2 linked regions of the Neurospora crassa OR74A genome follow. The protein of the gene in region 1 interacts with the protein of each later gene in a biochemical or structural test. Links are inferred from orthologs where the notes say so. Each region holds a gene or a part of one and is shown in the gene's direction. Other genes may lie near its edges.

Region 1 (3,881 bases):
CAGGGGAGGGAGCACCAACAAAGTGGATGACCAATTGGCGTCCGACTGTCACCGTGTCTTGGCCTCACCCCTCTGACTGACGGGGTCCAAGCCGTGGCCGAGCTGCGAGGAGCTCCAAGAGGTTTGGAAACGGTGGTGTTGCTGTGCCAGTGGCCGGTCACGACACCCGCGGCGCCCAAAGAAGAAAAAAAGCGACGGCGGAAGCGCACGGCAGATCCTGCTAGATCCTGGTAAAGGTAAGCGGGCAGGGGACTGGCCAAGCCCTGAGCTAGCCTGGCCAAATTAAAAAAGATGGGGCCAATTCGGTGCCGATGGTGGATGACGGTGGACGCCGGCAACGGTGAGTCGCTGAAATCGGCCGCCGATGTGTCAAAACCGTCGGACGTTGGCGTGGGCTTTTTCCTTCGGCGGCGGCGGCGGCGGTACGTAACTCGATCCTGGTGAATGTCGCCAACACTCTCCACTAGCCAAGCGATGATGTATTCCAGCGAATCCTATGGCGTGCCGAGAGTGGATCAGCCTGACAAACCTTCGAATGAAGAACCTCGCAGCGAATTCTCGAATTGTGACCGGGGTCGCTGATTTGTCCGTTGGTGATGGATGTTTTGTGGTGGAGGTTTAGTCAGACGGGTCGGTATCGCTGGGCTGAAGCCTGGTGTTGCTGGACGACGAGCAACAGAGAGAGTGTATGAGTGCGTGTATGTGTGTAAGTAAGTGTGTGCCACGAGGCCGGACCAGATGGCCATGAGCAGTCCTGGTGTTTTGATGTCGGCGACGAAATCCGAATGTCATAGCTGACATATATATGATTTAACAGAAGGTGCAAATCTCGTGGCAATGTCGAGCAGCTACCTACTATTTGCGCCGCAAAACAACATTGCCGACCAATCCGACCCGACTGCCAGGAGAACATTTTCCCAAAGCATCGGTGGCGACAGACTACAAACCCAAAAAAGACTTGGAAAATTCAAGACACCAACCAGAAACAAAAGGCTGGCAATGTGTCCATTTTCTGGGGAAACCAGCCAAGGTTCGCGTCAAGCAGCCGTGACAGTGTCTAGGCAGTGTACACTATATTATCTTAGCATGTCTTGGGACGTGGCCGTTGACTGGACCTTCTAAGCGATATGTCCCCCAAAACAGTTCCCTTCCCTAGGTCGTCATCGGTCTCAATTCGTTGCTGGCTGGTGAAAGGTCAACTCAGTCATACAAAGAAACCAATTGAAGAGTTTCAAGACGCCAAAGTCCCCGGCAGTCCCAGGCGGGGTTGATACGTTCAACTGGACACGGTCCGTGTAAGTTACACTTTGCAAACAATACATACAGCGCTTGCGTACACGTACTGCAACAACACTGCAATACATGCGGCAACGCCAAGCATGTGTACGTCACCCGCCTAGGCTGCAACTGTAACCACTGTAACTGTATGTAACAAGCGGAATGTCATGTGCCCATGCTGGTCCGTGCCCACAGCTGCTGTCGTCTCCCGCCTGCGGCCTGCCTGCCTTTCAGTTCGCTTGTCAGGCTGCTGAGACGACCGCAACGACTAACGGGGCTCGAAGCACACTGGTGTCGCTGGCGACAGACAACATTCGACGACGACCACTACTCCTTGCGATCAGACCAACCACACGCCAGCCCAACCACATCTCGTCCAACGCGACCGCATCAACGACGCCCCTCTTTGGCATGATTAATGACGAATCTGAATAATTGAGAATAACGATACCCGCCGATAAACGAGCATCACCCCGATACGGCCAGCCCGACGACAGCACCCCCACACCTGCCCCGAACCCCAACCTCCACATCCGATAGCAACACATAACTCCATTGAATCCAAGATGGCCAACATTCTCGACAGCGAAGCCGGCACAGAGCTCTTCAAGCATTATGAGACGGAATACCAGCTGGTCCAGGCCGACCTGGTCCAGAAGCTCGACCAAATCTCGGAGCTGACGGGCGAGCCCAGGAAAGCCGCCCTCAGCACGGCCGAGCGCGCCCTGGAGGAGGCCGGCGAGCTGCTGGACCAGATGAACATGGAGAAGCAGAACGTGCCCAGCTCGTCGCGGACCGCCATCAACAAGCGACTGCGCGACTACCGAAGCGACGTGGACAAGTATCGTCGCAAGCTGCAGACGCTGGCGACGGACCGCAGCGCCCTGTTCGGCGGCAGATACACCGATAACCCGGGCTCTTCGAGTGGCGATAGGCATTTTGAGCAGAGGCAGCAGCTGCTATCTGGTGGGTGGTGGACAGAAGCACCTTATACATGGCAAGAAGAAACGGAATGCTGACTATTTCCCCCGAAACGTAAAAGGCACCGACCGGCTCGATCGGAGCACACAACGCCTCAAGGCCAGTCAGGCGCTGGCCGCCGAGACAGAGGCTATTGGCGCCAGCACCCTGGCCGACCTGCACCGCCAACGCGAAGTCATTGAGCACACCACCACGATACTATACGAGAGTGAAGGCTATGTGGACCGAAGTGTCAAGACACTAAAGGGCATGGCACGCAGGTACCACCCTCCCCTTTTGTCCCAATGCGAATCATGATGATTAGGTAATACTGACCACTTGCGCCTTTACCATTAGGATGGCTACGAATCGGATAATCACCATTGCGATCATCACCGTGCTGGTCCTCCTTATCATTGCGGTTATCGTTAGCAAGTTCAGGTGATTGTGTCGAGAGAGCTGAGCGAATCCATAAAGAAGCAATACAACATCAGGTAGAACAGGCAGGGGTGTTCAGTGACATCACGATATATACGAACAGGTGGTGGATGGTTTGGACTGTACCGATGGAGCGTTTGTTATAACAGAGACATGTTCCAGTTCCATGTTTTTCGTATCGTAGGGATGGTATCGTACGGGGGGTTGTATTTTTACACAGACGGCGTCACAAAGGGAGGTGGTTTCGAAATTTAGACGTATTTCTTTCTCATGACCATACGGCGGCCTTGCTTCCATGGACGTTCCGACATCCGACAGGGGAAAACGGCTCGCCATGTCCACCACAACTCGCCGCCACATGGGTAGCGGATCGTTCTCTATGATTTCAAATGATTCTCCTCTGAGACATAGTATCCCTGACTTTGGTCGGTGTTGACCGGGGCCTTGGTTAAAACAAATTTTCTGTTGGCCACTGTTGTTTGAATGATTTGCGTTCACCACACCTCTGCTGGGATGTGACTTGGTAGCTTGGTAGTTCTACAAGAAACAGAGAGCGAGCCTTCGACAAAGTCGCTATTTCTTGTGCCCAAATTAAGCTTCTTTGCCACCCTGAAGAACCGTGGTGTACTGTGTATATCCCAGCAAGAACTGTGTCTTGGTAACTCATGTACACTACAGGCCTATTACAAATGAGTAGACTAAGAAATTTTCCATGTGATGGAAACACGCATCACTGCAAATCACGTCAAGTCATCTTCTTCGAGATACTTTCGTTGTTGTTAACATTTGCATATAACCCCACTTTCACAGATACGCAGTACATAACGGACCCTCAGACCTTCCACAGCTCCAGTTGAACTTTAGGCGGTGAAAAAAAAGAAGTCCACCGGACTGATGTTCCGCAGCTCAAGCTGCAGCTGGATGGAGATCGCCGGTCTCTCCCCGGCAGCCTTCCACTCGTCTCCATTTTCACCTGCAATTCTTCACTTCAAGATGGAGTCACAAGACAGAAACACCAAAACCGCTTACGGAGCGGACTTGACTTTTGGCGAGGGGAGTTCCTTAGGTATGTAGGTATGGAGTCGTCGTCGTCGGGTCCCATGGAAGCCAGCCGAGGGCACCGACGGAGAAAAGCCTCGCTCCACTGTGGATTCTCTCTCTCTCTTTCTCTCTCTCTCTTCCACTGTAGCGGGACTGACTGCAGT
Region 2 (3,602 bases), on another chromosome or scaffold:
ACACGGGTAAACGGTCATAGGAACAAAACGATCCACAATTGGACACCATTGTAGGTATGAGGATCCAAAAAGTTTTGCTTCTATATCCTTTCCTCTTTTATATGACTTTTCCCACACAGGTTTATGAACAGTTAACGGTGGGGAAATGGGGATTCGCAAGGATGGATAGAAGACGCTTTTTAAAGCTCCACATGGATACCTTCAGGGGGAACCTCAAGCTCGCCACTCTTGGCGATCTTGATAGGCTCAGCAGGAGCATCGCGAGGACCGGTCTTGGTGTTCTCAATCTTCTCGACGACATCGTAGCCCTCGAGGACCTCGCCGAAGACGACGTGCTTGCCATCGAGCCAACTGCGACAAAATGTGTATTAGCCAACCGGGCACTTCCTAGACCATGCGGCTCGAGTGTATTCGACTTACGAGGTGATGACAGTGGTAATGAAGAACTGGGAGCCGTTGGTATCCTTGCCAGCGTTGGCCATTGAGAGGAGACCCTTCTTGGAGTGCTTGAGCTTGAAGTTCTCATCGGGGAACTTGTCACCATAGACTGTACACAAGCGGTCAATGATATGGACCAAAGTGCATAACGGAACTTGGAAGCAACATACTGGACTTGCCACCGGTGCCATCGCCCTTGGTGAAGTCACCACCCTGGATCATGAACTGCTTGATAACACGGTGGAAGGTAGAGCCCTCATAACCGAAGCCCTTCTCGCCAGTGGCAAGAGCGCGGAAGTTTTCAGCGGTCTTGGGGACGGTCTTGCCATAGAGACCCATAACGATGCGGCCGAGGGGCTTGTCGCCCTGCTCAATGTCGAAGTAGACCTTGTGGGTGATCTTGGGGCCCTTGGCTGCCTCGGCGGACTGCGCAAAGAGCAGCATCGCGCCGAGGAACAGCGTGGCGGCGAGGAGGAGTCGCCGCAAGCTGAACATCTTGACGGTTCACGATAGTTTTTGGGTTGAGATGGAAAAAGACAATGACCTGACCCAAGTCAAAGAATTGGTGGAAAAGAAGATGGAAGAGGAGGAGGAGGAAAGAGAGAAGGAAAAGGACAGTTGATGAGACACTATGATTCTCTTCGGTTACAGTGGTCCCCGGCTCCGTTGAAGCTACGTTTCACCTACCAAATCGGGCGAGCTGCCCTCCAGGCACTGCCCGTCCCCGCGACTGGGGAACCTGGAACCAGTGCACTGACAACCGGACCGACAGCGCGCGTCGTCCAACCAGTTCTTTAGATCAAGGGCCTCGCATTTTCCCCTCAAAACAACAGGGGCAGCAGTCAAGGTGTTCAGACAAGACGGGGATTGATGGAATCGTTGGGGTTCGTTCACAGCGACTGCGCGATTGCCCTGAGACGAGGGAGCGGGAGCTGCACCGCTGCAGAAGCGGGGCAGCCGAAGAGGTCCATGGGATGGATGTCTCACGCCAAGCCGACGGCGGGTCCAGAACCACATGTACTTTCTAGACTCACCCTCAGCCACAAAGGGGGGTGTCAATCTGGAGCGCCGCGCTTGTATGCATAGCGCCGCTACTACAGTACCTCGAGGCAGTTGTCGAGATCGTGAACCCTGCCGGCCGCAACGTCATTATACTTTGGTCTTTATTTTAATCAAACACAATAGATCACTGCATATACCACCACTTCCTCAATCTCTTTACCTCTATGCAGTGAATCTCCACTTCCTTCAACTTGGGACTAATAAGGCCGGCGCATGTCGATTGATGCGACCGACAACTGATGCCGCAGCTTTACTCCTCCTCGTCTTCGCAGTAGCGCGATGATGTCCTCCACGAACGAGGAGGACCCCTTCCTTGAGGTCCAACAGTATGCTCTGACCATCTCCCCCTTTTTTTCCCAACTCACAAACCACAATCAACCCAAAACATTGACAGCTAACCAAAACTTCAAACACAGGGACGTCCTAACCCAACTCCAATCCACCCGCTCCCTCTTCACCTCCTACCTACGCATCCGCTCCCTCTTCACCTCTTCCTCCTCCTCTTCCACCGACTCTCCTGAGCTGATCGCGGCCCGCTCCGACCTCGAATCCGCCCTCTCCTCCCTCGCCGAAGACCTCGCCGACCTCGTCGAGTCCGTCAAGGCCATCGAGCGCGACCCCACGCAATATGGCCTGTCGGCGCACGAAGTCACGCGGCGCAAGCGCCTTGTGCAAGATGTCGGGTCCGAGGTAGAGAACATGCGGCAGGAGCTCGCATCCAAATCCGCCGTCTCTGGAAAGGGTACCCAGCAAAAGGACCAATTACCAGACCCATCATCTTTCGCCATCCCGGACGGTGAAAACGGTGCCGCTGGCGCCACCGGCGAAGACGACGATTACGCAGCCGAATTCGAGCACCAGCAGCAGATACAGATGATGCGCGAGCAGGATCAGCATTTGGATGGGGTATTCCAGACGGTCGGCGTGCTGAGGCGGCAGGCGGACGACATGGGCCGTGAGTTGGAGGAGCAGAGGGAGATGCTGGAGGTGGCGGACGATTTGGCGGACCGCGTGGGAGGGAGGTTGCAGACGGGGATGCAGAAGTTGACATATGTGATGAGGCACAACGAGGACACGCTGAGCAGTTGTTGCATTGCGGTCTTGATCTTCGTATTGATTTTGTTGTTGGTTTTATTGCTCATTTTGTAAGCTGGGAGCTGGACGGCAGGATTGGGGCTGTGTTTTGGCTGACTAGACTAGGCGGGCTGTTTTCTTTTTGGGTTCTGCCGGTTAAGAGGAGTTCTGAAGGGGTGTCTATGATGTTTGGCTCTCCTGTTACTTATTTTGCTTTACCGCCTACAGCATTATGATGGACGGTCATACGGTAATACAATAATGACCTACTGGATCACTGCAGCCACGAGTTGTTGCCGCCATGGTCCAGGTGAAAACGGGCATCGGTCAGCAACATTGAGTTTGGAGCCATACAAAGGCTCAGTTCTGCACCCTTTACAGGGCTTTCTTTCTCTGAGTGCTGATGTGGTAGGTTTTTGTTTCTGTATGCCCACTACGAGCTTCGCCGCCTTGATTGTAGATACGCTGGGTATATAACAGAAAGCGCCAAATACGCTGGGAAGCCCGGCCTTTCAGTTTCTTCTGATAGAACACTAACTTTTCGTAACCGGCACATGGCAGACGTTATCCTTCCAAGATGCTGAAAACCTCAAATGACCAAATCCTGAACGCCGTTGATATGACTTTTCTTTCTGACACACAACACACCAACCCCATTCCTCTGACACACACGACCACTTTATTTATCCAAGAGCAGCTCCAGTACTCTTCCTGAGCAGATCATGGACAACCTGCAACGAGTTCACGGCACTCGACTTGACCGGTGCCCGAGCAGGGAACTCTACGAGCGCGGTCCTCAACGCCGCAAGGGCAGCGGTTCCATATGCATGGATAAACTTCTCCTCGTAGTTCTGGATCATAGCTTTCAGAACCACGCACTGGGTATTTGAGATTTCGCCTGAAGGGGTGTTGACAATCTTCGCCATGGCCGCCCAGTAATGTCGTGGTGGGTATGGGTTTTGCTTCTTGGACGAGGCGAAGTTTCGCAACGATATCGCGGCGAAGCCGGCACCGAGACCCGTCATTCG

Evidence for each region.
Region 2: the proteins of NCU05959 (region 1) and NCU01199 form a complex in vitro, tested with the Saccharomyces cerevisiae proteins (3 studies listed by BioGRID). The link is inferred for Neurospora crassa OR74A from reciprocal best matches to the Saccharomyces cerevisiae genes VTI1 and TLG1.

What each region holds. Positions count from the first base shown.
Region 1 is NC_026506.1:3,311,149-3,315,029, reverse strand, and holds NCU05959 (vesicle transport V-SNARE protein VTI1), read left to right. Parts: upstream 1-1,527; 5' UTR 1,528-1,844; coding exon 1,845-2,244; intron 2,245-2,320; coding exon 2,321-2,519; intron 2,520-2,595; coding exon 2,596-2,683; 3' UTR 2,684-3,093; downstream 3,094-3,881. UniProt on the Saccharomyces cerevisiae protein: t-SNARE found in various SNARE complexes involved in multiple transport pathways. The composition of the t-SNARE complexes is specific for a limited number of v-SNAREs and therefore allows only the vesicles carrying the matching v-SNARE to fuse.
Region 2 is NC_026505.1:3,218,228-3,221,829, reverse strand, and holds NCU01199 (SNARE domain-containing protein), read left to right. Parts: upstream 1-1,564; 5' UTR 1,565-1,779; coding exon 1,780-1,826; intron 1,827-1,916; coding exon 1,917-2,649; 3' UTR 2,650-2,945; downstream 2,946-3,602. Other genes in the region: NCU01200 (peptidyl-prolyl cis-trans isomerase B), read right to left, coding at 200-351, 421-547, 609-933; gle-1 protein, read right to left, coding at 3,258-3,602.